Canis lupus familiaris: one gene and its partners. The protein of the gene in region 3 interacts with the protein of the main gene of each other region in a biochemical or structural test. Links are inferred from orthologs where the notes say so. Each region holds a gene or a part of one and is shown on either strand. Other genes may lie near its edges.

Region 1 (4,176 bases), on a different chromosome or scaffold from region 3:
ATCTAGTTCCGCAGAGGGCTCCTGGTGTGGAGCCTGCTTCTCTGTCCTCCTGTGTCTCTGCCTCTCTCTTTCTCTCTCTACATGTGTCATGAATAAATAAATAAATAAATAAATCTTTAAAATATATATATATCATTTAAAGTAACATCAAAAATTTCAAATAGCTAAGAATAAAAGATATGCAAGACTTCTACACAGAAAACTACAAAACATTACTGAAATTTTAAAAAGACTTAAATAAATACAAGTATATGCCACGCTCATATACTAGAAAACTCAATGTTAAGATACTCTCCAAACTGATATATATAGATTCAATTCCAATTTCCAAAATCTATTGAAATTGACAAGCAGAATCTGAAATTTATACGGAAATGCTAAGAGGAAAGAACTGACCAATATTTAAAAAAAACAAAGTTAGAGGCCTTATACTATCACATATCAAGGCTTATTATACAGTTACATTAATTAATAGTGATACTGGTGCAAGGATAACAAATAGACCAGTAAAACAAAATACAGTACCCACAAACAGATCCACACTTAAACAATCACCTGATTTATGAGAAAGTGTCACACAGTGCAGAGGGACAAGTATGGTACTTTATTTTCAAAAATGGTGCTAGGTCAAAAAGATATTCACCTGGCTAAAAGTGAATCTTGATCCCCTACAATCCACCTGAAATTTACTCGAAATTGCACAAATTAAATGTGAAAAGTAAAACAAAATAAAACTTCTGTAAGGAAAAAAACTTCTGTAAGGTAACATAGGAAAATATCTTCATATTCTTAGGCTAGGCACGATTTCTTAAATAGGGCACAGAAAGCAGTACTCAAAGAAAAACAGTAAATACATTTCATTGAAATTAACAATGTCCATCAAAAAAAAAAGAAAAAACACTATTAAAAGATGGAAAGACAAAATGGAATAAGATAAACTATGTATAGGTTACAGATATGGATATGTGTGTGTGTGTGTACCTCCCAGAAAGGGCTCTTATCGAAAAAATCCTAAAAAAATAAGACTCAGACATCTCACAAAAGACATACAAATGACCAATAAAAGATAAAGCCACAACCATTAGGAAAACACAAAATAAAACCACACTAATATATTATTGCACCTCTACCAGAATAGCAAAAATGTTTTGAACTGACAAGCATCAGCAAGAATGTGGGGTAATTGGATTACCATTCCCTGCTAATTAGCACAACCACTTTGGGAAAATGTTCAACAGTACCTAATGCTAGAGTTTTATCATTCACATACCTCACAAACCAATTCCACTCCCAGGTCTAAACCCCAACCTAGGGATCCCTGGGTGGCGCAGCGGTTTGGCGCCTGCCTTTGGCCCAGGGCGCGATCCTGGAGACTCGGGATCGAATCCCACATCGGGCTCCCTGCATGGAGCCTGCTTCTCCCTCTGCCTATGTCTCTGCCTCTCTCTCTCTGTGTGTGTGTGACTATCATGAATAAATAAATAAAATCTTAAAGAAAAAAAATTTTTTTAAAGAAAAAAAAATTTTTTTAATAAAAAAAAATAAAAATAAACCCCAACCTAGAAATACTGTTTCCTGAACTGCGATGGCACACTTAGTAAAAAAAAAAAAAAAAATTCCTTTACCTGCACTCCGGATTGTGCACTTTTTCTGTTTATTATTCTTCAATAAGTTTTCTAAGTTTTCTTGACACAAAGTTCTCAGAGACCGTAAGGCTAGTAGCGTTTTAGAACAGAAAAGGAGCTTCAGGTGAACTCAACAAAGTTTACGAATGAAATTAAAAACCAAAAAAAAAAAAAAAAAAAAAACTGCTAACACATATCAGTCCAGAACAAAAGTAAAAACCACCAACAGATAGCTTTTCTTGATTTTCAAGGAGCACTGGGTTTCTCTCATTTCAGCGAAGAAAGGAGTTTATTATTCTACAGTGTAACCCAAAGAAAAGATATCTGTGCGAGAAAATGCTGCTTTTTCAAAGTCACCTCTAACGGCAAAGGATACAGGGAAAAGCAAAGGAACCACTCCAAAGTTTTTAACTCTTCGTTGAAAGGATGACAACTGACTTAAGACGCTCCCCTCCCCTCAAAAAAAAAAAAAAAAAAAAAAAAAAAAAAGGCACAAAGAAATCACGGCAATTCTAAAGCAAACACCAACACCACAATCCAATGTACCGGAAATTCTGCGGTCAATCTGAGGCTTGCCCCGCTAGTCATGAGGTGATCCGGGCACGGGTGCGACCGCTGCCCGAGCGCATCCCTGGGGCTCACGCAGCACACCTGGCGAGCCCGTCACCCACCCGCCTGGAGAAACGCCTTGCGCAGAATCCCGGGGCCCACGTAAAGACGCCAACTTTGCAAGTCAGGGGCGCCGGCGGTCTCAGTCCGCGAAGACGCCCGGCGAGCACGGACTCCTGGCCTCGAGGGCGGGGCCGAAAGGTCAGCGTCCCCCGGGAGCCGCGGGCGAGCGCCCCCGAAGCCGCCCGGTCCCTCCGCCTCGCGGCGAGTCCAGTGCAGGCGCCGCCGGCGAGCTTCCTAGCCGGCGCCCACGGCGGGAGGGTCCCGGGCCGCCGCGGCCTCAGCGAACTTAGGCCCCGGCGGCGCCGAGCGCGCCCGCCCCGCTCGTGCGGCAAGTTCGGCGGCGGCCCCCGCTCGCCGCGCCGCGGCCCCGCCGTCCGCCGCGCGCCCAGCGGAACCCGGGCTCGCGGCCCGCCCGGCCTGGCGCGGCGCCCCTCACCTTGGAAACGTTGGGTGGACTCCGCCGTAAACATTAACTTCCCATCCAGCCGGCAGCCTCGCCGCCGCGTCTCAGCGCCTCGGCCCCGCTCCGGCTCCCCGGGCCGCCTTCCTCGCCCCCCGGAGCGCCGCGCCCGCCCGGCAGCTCAGGGCCGCCTCCGAGCCTCGCGCAGCCTGCGGGCGCCGCCGCGGCGCTGCTCCCCGACCCCCGACCCCCGGCCCCCTGCCCTGCCCGCCCGCAGGCTCCTCCGGGGTCCGGCCCGCCGCGTCAGGAAAGCCCAGGGCGCAGGCGCGGCGGGGCCTTAAAGAGACCGGCCGCCTCTACCGCATAATGGGTTCGAGCAGGTTAGGGGCCGGGCGGCCGGAGGAGAAAAGGAGAAGCCGAAGGGATTGGGCCGTGGGGGAACGGGGGCGGGGAAATCCCGCTCCCTCCCCCGCCTCTCTTTGAAAGCGCTCAGCCCTCGGCCTTACAAGCTGCAGACTTCCCGGTCTCTTGAACCGCCCCCTTGCGCGTACGAGCTGCCCCGGACACCACCCCCCCCCCCAGCGGGCCCCGCACGACCCCGAGCTCGCAGCTGCGGGCCTCCCGCTACCGCCTCGCCCACGCGCCTCCCAGGCCGCCGGCCCCCGGCGCCTAGCGCAGGCTTCCGAAAGGCCCCCCGAGCTCCCCGAGAGTGACCTCGGTCACTCTCCAAAACAATGATCACTGTGCAAATACCATTTGTGATGGCAAATGCCTCTACCTTCAGTCTTCTGGCCACGCTGGGTTTATGCAGAGTCCGACAGGGGGCGGAACATGGGCACAAACACGTGAAGTCCAGCCGGGCAACCATCCAGTATCAACGAAGAAATAAATTCTTAGAAGTAGTTAGTTTGGGACCGAAACTATCTACCAATTCCAGTCCAACTCCAAGAAAGGCGGACAAGAAAAAATGATAAGAGCAATATAAATTACTTTCATTACACATTTGTAAGTTACAAAATGACAACTGCCAGCACAAAAGGACTCCAAAATTGTTTGCCTAAATATTAGATAGCCCCCGGTTATTTTCTGATATAAATTTACAATCTCCAGAAGGGATTCCACTGTGGTAAGCATTTTAGAGAAAAGAACTCTCCTTTAAAAAAAAAAAAACAGGCTTAGGAAATACTAAAATATAGGAAGTAGAAACATGCCCTCCACCCAGCTAGCAACTTTGAAACCTTGAAATTTTAAGGGGCAAACTTTTTCATGACTTTTAGGTCATGCCATTATTTAAAGTCAATTTTGGTCAACAATTTTATGGAAACTGAATCCATTTTGTATAAGAAAGTTAAGAGATAGGGCAGGCCGGGTGGCTCAGCGGTTTAGCGTCTGCTTTCAGCTGCTTTCAGCGGGATCCTGGAGACCTGGAATCACGTCCCACGTAGGGCTCCTTGCATGGAGCCTGCTTCTCCCTCTGCC
Region 2 (4,109 bases), on a different chromosome or scaffold from region 3:
CTGAATTCCTGAGGGGCGATTTGAATTGTGAGGTTTTTTTTTTTTTTTTCACATGATTAAAAGGGCATAGATTCTGGGAACAAGTGGTTAAACGTGGGTACTTTGAGAAGTCAAACTACTGTGTTAATTCCAGCGTGGACTCATAGTCTCTCAATAATTCTCTGTAATTACCTCTGTCTTTACTCGCAGACAGGACATTTGGCAAATAGCATGTATGCTTTCTACAGCAACCGCTTCCCGAATTAACATGTAGAAACTCAAGTTCTTGGGAACCAAAGACAAGGCGAAGGCCCGGGGTAACTGTGTGTGTGTGTTCGTTCACCTCTAAACCACGAGAATTTTAAGCACTCAAGTAACCACGCTGATCAAAGCTAAATCCTTTAGGAAGATTATCCATTCTGAAATCAGGAAAATCCTGCAGTGTAAGCACTTTTATACTTCGCCTTTGAGAAAAGAACCTGATTTCTGTAACAGTGTTTAAAACACATGCACAAGACTTTATTCCTACAAGGCCAGGGAGCAGCAGCTGTAAACATGTGCCTCGGCGTACTGATGACCCTCTACACGTACTGCTATCTCAGCTTGGGGACCAGCGCCGAGCTCACACTGAGCAACAAGAAGAATGCCTATGGATGAAAGATTTCTTAATGGGCACATAAGCTCAGAACATGTGCAGCTTCTCTCTTTAGAATAAACACTCTATTTGGATCACGTTAAGGACAGAAAGTGAAATTCACACTCATTTACTAAATTTTAACCTCTCTTTAAAATAAGATCCTAATCCCCCACAGCCTGGCTTGGGTTTTGCAAAAACTCAGATTTGTGAATATCACGAAGGCATCCCAGAATTTAGCAAAATGAATATAAACCATCTTTTCACTGATATACAGCACTGTCCTCTCCCAAACTCCAAAGTTTAAGGACTAAATCTAGGCTCTGGATGTTTTTTAACATCTATCACTTCTAGCAGTTGAGGCCACCAAAATCTATCTTGGTTACTTTATACTGTTGAACTTCTTTTCCTTCGGCAGTCTCTGTCCATCACGCAGATGGCACCAGGGCAATCACTAAACTGTTGCTCACGGCCGTTTACCATCCATGGTTTGTGACTCGACAGCTGTTTATAAACCAGCCATAGGCAGAAGCATGCAGGAAGTTAACAGAACAGAGGTGTGATGCCTGGCCCTCTGTGATATTGGCGTGAGATCAAACAATTTGCCACACTACAATCACCCACCCTTTGACATGTCAGTCTTCTGATGTGCAGGGAAAACACCTCTTCGTGGGCTGCTCCAAGACAGACATATTTACCCATCAGCCGTATACCTCATGTCTATCCAGACTAAGTTACCCTGGGCCCTCTCCCTGGAAAATCTGCTGTGACATTAAGAGTGACTCATGTGAGCAGAGAGGGAAGGTGGAGATGGGCACTAAGAACACATAAAGACCTGTGGATGTTGGTGAAAGGCACATCTGAAAGGCAACTTGCAAACCGAATGCTTCCAAAATGGCCCAAATGTAATTTGGCCAAGCCAAGTCAACACACATTTTTTATCCGGGCTATCTGAGGCTGCTCATCCTTGCCTGGTGCAATCAACACATCCCACCCTGACACTAAGGAATAAAGGAAAACCTAGAACCATTTTCTCGTAATTCCAAGGAAGTCTAAACTGCATCCTGGAAAACTCTTCCTGTCTACCTCCTAAGGCCGTGGTTGGTGACTGCTGTAAAGAGCCAAGCTCAAGGGGCAGAAGGCTCATCATCCCAAAGACGTGGGTGAAGAAGGTGGAGTGTGGTCTTCTAAGCCTTCTCATACCAGGCGCTTCCCAGTTCACGCCACACTGCCAGAAGGACAGACCTACTTCCTGGGTTTGATGAAGACTTTGGAAGCATAAGCAGGGCAGAAAACCTAGAGCAAATGCTCTGACCAGGTAACACCTAGGCGCCCCCAAAGTGGAAATCTTCTTCCTCTATCAGCACTGCCAGAGAAATCTGCCTGAATCCATGATTTTTCTTCTGTCTCAACAACATGGCCCCTTGGAAGCAAATTTCTCAATTTTTCAGGGCTTGGGACTACATAGTTACCCAAGGAAAGGCTAAAAGGTCTCTTTCTTCGGTCTCCGTGTCTTCAGCATCTAGGTCACTGCTGGAAACACGGGACAATTACCCAGGTCAACCTACAAGCTGAGTTTTCAGGGTGTGGAGGTCTAATTTAGGGGTGGGGACCAGGGGGCCACTTTTGGTCAGTGCCGCTTAGGAAGCAGGAACCCAAACTCCAAGCACTTCTGGCTTTGCCTCCAGTAGCAATTACAACCATCTTCGCTTGGCCCTGAATTATACATGTGACCCCCAAGCACCACTGGGGTTTTTCCTAAGGGAAAACAAACTGTCATGACTATTGGTGCGTGCCTGAGGGTGTGCATGTGTGTGTGTGTGTGTGTGTGTGTGTGCGCGCGCGCCTGTGCTCTACAGCCGCCGATACACAAGCCCCACCAGCCAGTGGGAGAGAAGTTGAACGCAGCCCCTGGCCCCCTCCTTTCAGTCCTTCCTTAAGCCCCGCTGCTCTCTCCAGCTTTTGCCTCCCCCCAAGCCTCCCGAAAAATAAAGCACCAAGTTGCCGGCTGCGGCGGCCCCGGGTGCAAATGAACCGGCGCAGCCCCTACCTCGAGAGCTTTGCAATCTTCACAAAGCTGAAGACATCCATGCAGGCAGCCGGGCACCCCGAGCACGGAGGCTGCGGCGCCCCTTCTCACGCCAGCAACGGCAGCCCCATGGCCGGCCGGGACCTCAGCGCGCCCCGGGGCTCGAGTGGCGGCGACGGCGGGTGGCGGCGGCGGACCTGGAGAGCCCGCACCTGGAGGCGGCGGCTGCTACCCCCCTCCGGCCGTGAGCTGCGTGTGCATCCCGGAGCAGGACCATTGACGGGCGCCCGTGTTGGAAAACTCCACGGAGAGGGGGCCGTGGAGGGTGCGAGGGGCGGGGGTGGGGAGCGTGGCCCGGGTGTGCGCCCCGGCCTGGGGGACTCCCGGGCGCGCCGGGGAGGCGAGGCCCGGGCGAGGGGCGCCGCTCCCGCTCCCCAGCCCGCCGGCCCGGCTGCCCCGCGAGCGGAGGAGCGCAGACTGAGCCGGGAGGTGGCGGGCGAGCCTGGCACACGCGCACGCACCCCTCGCGGCACTGCAGCTGCCTCCCTGCCTCCTTCCCCAAGCTGAGTCCCTTCTCCTCTCCCTACCCCCACCCGCGGGGGGCGGGGGGGCTCTCCTGTCACCAGCTGCGGGTGCCTCCAGATCTGAAAGATTGATCTAACAGTCTCGGGCACAGCGGGGACGGCGAACGCTCCCCCCTCCCTCCCCAAACCGGGGGGGAGCCGTGCAACCGCAGGTTGCCGGAGCCTTGGTATGTTCCATAAACAAAACTAGCGATGGGGAAGGAGTAGGGACGATCCGGGCCGGATGGTCTGTCAAGGGGAAGGGGAGGGAGAGATGCCCAGCACCGCGGCTCGGTCTGGAGAGCACAGAGGTCCCACTGCTTCCCCCAACCACTGGAGCTAGACGCGACAGCTGGGCTGGCTGGGAAGGTGTGTCTTTGGACAGCAGCACCCGGCGAGCGTTGGAGAAATTAGAAAATAGGACCGGGAGGCGTTTGGAGGGGCGACGGTGCACACCGGGCGGCTTCTCGCTACGGGGGTACGGAGAGGAGGGTCCCAGAAGCCAGCGGCGGGGAGACGGCTAGGAATGGGGCTCCGAATCTAAAGGAGGAGAAGGGACGCGATCGGGGTCTGGGAGGCAGAGCTGAGACGCTTTCTCAAATTGAGCAGCCGGTACAAAAGGAAAAAAACAAAAAACCAAAAAAAAAAAAAAAAAAAAACCCAAAAAACCTTACTCATAAAAACAAAACGCCGGACACATAAACAAACACTCACCTTAGGCAGAGTAAACTCCAAGTTGCAGCCATGTAGAACTCTAGCCTTCTCTTTTACATAATTATCTTGGGTAATCAGCCCTCTTCATTAACTCAGTTCTCTGTCCCCGGAGGCTCAGGCTTCTCCGGGCCTCTTTTTTCTTGTTCTTTCCCTTGGAGTCTCAAGGCCTCTTCTCCAAAATCCTTTAAAA
Region 3 (4,142 bases):
AGGATATTGGCCTATCAAACATACAACTCCCTGGATGTTCAAGTTACTGAGTGCCTTACAGAGAACCAAATACGTCACTCTGTTAAGTTTTAAAATAAATGAAGGGATCCCTGGGTGGCGCAGCGGTTTGGCGCCTGCCTTTGGCCCAGGGCGCGATCCTGGAGACCCGGGATCGAATCCCATATCAGGCTCCCGGTGCATGGAGCCTGCTTCTCCCTCTGCCTGTGTCTCTGCCTCTCTCTCTCTCTGTCACTATCATAAGTAAATAAATAAAAATTAAAAAATAATAATAATAATAATAAAATAAAATAAATGAATTCAGAGGAGCATTAAGCCTAGCTGATGTATAATGGTCACAAATAAAGTTTTAATTCCCACCTATTAAAGCCTGAAAGAGGTTGCTCTGAAAAATGTTAATGACTCGTTCTATGGAACTTCTGAGCTGTCTGTCTTCAGTTTGGCTTAGTTTTGAACGATATTCTTCCAAAAGGTGCAGTGCTCTCTGGGTGTCTGGGAAGGAAACAAGAGTTTGATTAAAATTACACATATACAGTTATTACACACTACTTATGCAGCAAATCATCCTACAAGACATCTCAACACCTCCCCAAATCCTTTAGGTCAATCAACGCTGCTACACTCACACACACATATATTCCTTAGAATAATTGAAACATTTCTAAATGTATGTCACAGAAAAAGGAGGAAGATAAACAGTTGGTGATAAATGTGTAGTAGTCTAAAACAACACAAGGCTGTTTGATCAAAGTATCAGTTAACACAGCTTCAGCCGATCCGACATGCAAAAGCAGATTACCTACAATTTGTTATTATAATCTGAATCTTGGGGGATCCCTGGGTGGCTCGGCGGTTTAGCACCTGCCTTTGGTCCAGGGCATGACCCCGGGGTCCAGGATAGAGTCCCGCATCAGCTCCCAGCATGGAGCCTGCTTCTCCCTCTGCCTATGCCTCTGCCTCTCTTTCTCTCTCTATGTCTATCATGAATAAATAAATAAAATCTTTAAAAATAATAATAATAATCCGAATCTTAACTGTTTCAAAACACCAGTTCTTATAGCCAGGTTCCCATGACTGCTCACAAAAGAGTGCCTAAGATCATAAAGTTAAAATATCAAAAAATAAATAAATAAATAAAGTTAAAATATCAAAACACCAATTAAAGAGTCTTCACGAAGACCTTTCAGAGGAGTGAACAGGAACCTGCCTCTCGAGAGCCACTACAGACCGCGACGCCAGAAAAGAAAAGTTTGAAAACGACACTGACAGGGGTCCCTCCCCTCCAGGATAGGCGGCTTCGGTCTCCTAACAAGCAGGGAAGGGCGACGACGCCGTCTTATCAGAGTCCAACATTTTTATTTTGTTAAAGATAGATTTATTTATTTATGATAGATAGATGATGGGGGCGGGGGGGGGGGGGCAGAGACACAGGAGGAGGGAGAAGCAGGCTCCCTGCAGGGAGCTGATGCGGACTCAGTCCAGGACCCCGGGGTCACGCCCCGGCCCAAAGGCAGGTGCTAAACCGCTGAGCCCCCCAGGGATCCCCTAATCCAACATCTTTAAAACACAAATCAGAACACAGACACAACACTCTCACTCACTCACCCGCACGAGAAGAGAGGTCCCGAAATAAATTCTCACCTTGCTTCCGGACCGGCATGTTTTTTGTTTTTTGTTTTTCCCTCCAGTATCGGAAAGAGGGCACACACCTTTAAAAAAATTTTAAAAATAAATTAAAAAAAAAAAAAAAAAAAAAAAACAGTAAGGGAACAACCGAAGCAAAACAAGAGGATCGTGGTGCTGAGTTGCATTCCTCCCCTGAACTCTCAAAATCGCGGAAAACTCCCAGCCGTACCTGAAGAAGGGGCCACACCCGCTGCCCAAGTTTTCCCAAGTGAAACAGCAGGGTTGGGGGGGGGGTCCCAGGAAGCTGCCCCCGAGGGAGGGCCCCCCCGCACAGGGACCTGCAGCTCCGGCTCCCAGGGGCGCTCGGTGCCCGGACGCGGGCCCGGCCGACGCGTGCAGACGCCCCACCTGCTCCGGGGCGCGGGGGCGCAGCGGCGCGAGGCTGGAGGCTGCGGGGACACGGGCCCGCGGGCCCCACACCTGCGGCGCCAAGTTCCCGCGAGCGGCGTGCGCTCGGGACGGGCTCGGGGGCCGCCCGCCCGGCCCCGCCCGGGGCTCGAGGAGCCGAGCACGCGGGGGGTGAGCGAGCCGGGGGGGGCGGGGAGGAGGAGGAGGAGGAGGAGGAGGAGCCGCCGCCGCCGCCCCCGCCGCCGCGCCCGCCGCCGCCCCACCCCCGGAGCGTCGCCTCCCTCCCTCCCTCCCTCCCTCCGCGCCCCTCGCCGCTCGGCCCCCAAACTTTCCGCCAAGATGGCGGCCCCGGAGCTGGCCGGCCGCGCCCCACGTGACCGCGCTCCCAGCCAATGGGAAGTGAGGAGGCGGCGGGCGCCCACCCCGGGCTCGGAGCGCCGCTGCCTTCGGGGCGGCAGGGGGAGGCGGCGCGGAGGGGCCGGGGCCCGGCGCGCGGCCCCGCCGGCCTCCCCGCGGACGGGCGGCCCCGGCGCGGCCCCGCGGCCCGACGACTGGGCGCGCGCTCCACAGGTGGCCCGGCGCGGCCCCCGGAGCCCGCCCTCACCTCGCCGCAGCCCGCGGCTCCGAGCGCGACGCGACCTCACCTACAGCAGGTCCGGGACACACATGCCGACACACCTCGTAACGTCCCTACACGCGTGCTGCCTCCGCCTCCGCGCGCGGCGAGGTCCCGGCGCCCCCGGGGAGCGGATCCCCGGCCCCGAGGAGCGGTCTCGCGGAGGAGTAGACCGCGCCGCCCACGTCAGGGGCGCGGGGGGCGGGGCCTGGCCGGGGAAGGGGCGGGGCCTGGCGCGGGGAGGGGCGGGGCCTGCCCGCCGCGGGGGCGGGGCCTGGCCGGGGAGGGGGCGGGGCCTGGGTGGGGGCGCGCTCTCCGCCACTACGTACTGATGCTTTAAACTATCGGGCATCGCTGGGGGCGCGATCCTGGAGCCCCGGGATCCAGTCCCGCATCGGGCTCCCTGCGTGGAGCCTGCTTCTCCCTCTCTGTGTCTCTGCCTCCCCCCCCCTCTCTATGTCTATCATGAATAAATAAATAAATAAATAAATAAATAAAATCTTTTTTAAAAAATAAATTATTCGCCCGTCAGTACAAGTCTTTTGGGGGGGAGGGGTTGAAAAAAGAAGGGCTTGTAAACTAGATTGAGAGTTTGAGGCGTTTGCTCCTGGAGGGTTTTTAAGTCTGATTAAGTCTAAGCGTGAATGCATTGAAGGGAGGGAAGAAAACCCTGGTTCCCTCTTTCCCTTGCTCGTTCATCCACACGCCCGTGTCTGCACTCCTCGCCCAGTCACCCGTCTCAGGTTGTCACCCGAGCTCGTGGCGGCCCCTTTAAGAGCTCACCTGTAGCTACCTCCACCGAAACCGAGCCACCTCCTCCGGCGCGCGCGGCGGGGTTGGGTGTAGACCGCAGGTCCCAGCGGGGACTTCTGGCTGGGCCAGACCCTGGCTCCGGCTCTGAGCCGCCCGGGTTGTAGGAAGAGAAATTTTGCGAAAAGCTCTCAAAGTTCAGACCTTTTTTTTGGGGGGGGGGGGGGTAACAGGGACCTCCCTCGTCTGAGGTCCTGAGCGAGTTTGCCCAAGGTCACCCGGAGTTAGTAACAAAACTGGAAACACGAAGAAGATCGTCTTTCTAAACCGGAAGACTTCCCTGTAAACCTGCCAGCCTTTGGCTGAGGCCACATCCTTGGGCTGATAAAGGGAAGTCCCGGGAACCTTGCACTGTAATCATGACACTTACTCAGAAGTCTGACCACTGGGTTTCACTTTTGGGTTGCACCTTGGAATTCTAACTTGCCAGAACCCAACGACTTTAGAGCCTCATCTGACCCAGTATTTCAATTTAAGATAAACAGGTTCAGGGAGGGGAAACAACCTGCCCAGGGACCTGTAGCCCAGCATTAGTTCTCCTATCTCCAGTACAGGGCTCTTCCCACTGTGATTTTGGAAAACTAGGCAGTGGTGTGTTGATTTATTAGCAGCAGGCGTCTATGCATGCTTTCCTGGCTCAACCATCTTGGGAGATTGAGCAACA

The links. The genes of interacting proteins can lie anywhere in the genome.
Region 1: the proteins of DLG1 (region 3) and EVI5 interact in a test that uses a peptide from one of them, tested with the Homo sapiens proteins (2 studies listed by IntAct, with this or other methods). The link is inferred for Canis lupus familiaris from reciprocal best matches to the Homo sapiens genes DLG1 and EVI5.
Region 2: the proteins of DLG1 (region 3) and FRMPD4 interact in a test that uses a peptide from one of them, tested with the Homo sapiens proteins (2 studies listed by IntAct, with this or other methods). The link is inferred for Canis lupus familiaris from reciprocal best matches to the Homo sapiens genes DLG1 and FRMPD4.

The regions. Positions count from the first base shown.
Region 1 is NC_049227.1:56,750,272-56,754,447, reverse strand, and holds the start of EVI5 (ecotropic viral integration site 5 protein homolog), read right to left. Parts: upstream 2,921-4,176; 5' UTR 2,734-2,920; intron 1-2,733. UniProt on the Homo sapiens protein: Functions as a regulator of cell cycle progression by stabilizing the FBXO5 protein and promoting cyclin-A accumulation during interphase. May play a role in cytokinesis.
Region 2 is NC_049260.1:8,631,907-8,636,015, reverse strand, and holds the start of FRMPD4 (FERM and PDZ domain-containing protein 4), read right to left. Parts: upstream 2,921-4,109; 5' UTR 2,705-2,920; coding exon 2,664-2,704; intron 1-2,663. UniProt on the Homo sapiens protein: Positive regulator of dendritic spine morphogenesis and density. Required for the maintenance of excitatory synaptic transmission. Binds phosphatidylinositol 4,5-bisphosphate.
Region 3 is NC_049254.1:30,951,255-30,955,396, forward strand, and holds the start of DLG1 (disks large homolog 1), read right to left. Parts: upstream 2,871-4,142; 5' UTR 2,697-2,870; intron 2,027-2,696; exon of another isoform or gene 1,874-2,026; intron 1,728-1,873; 5' UTR 1,679-1,727; coding exon 1,624-1,678; intron 511-1,623; coding exon 379-510; intron 1-378. UniProt on the Homo sapiens protein: Essential multidomain scaffolding protein required for normal development. Recruits channels, receptors and signaling molecules to discrete plasma membrane domains in polarized cells.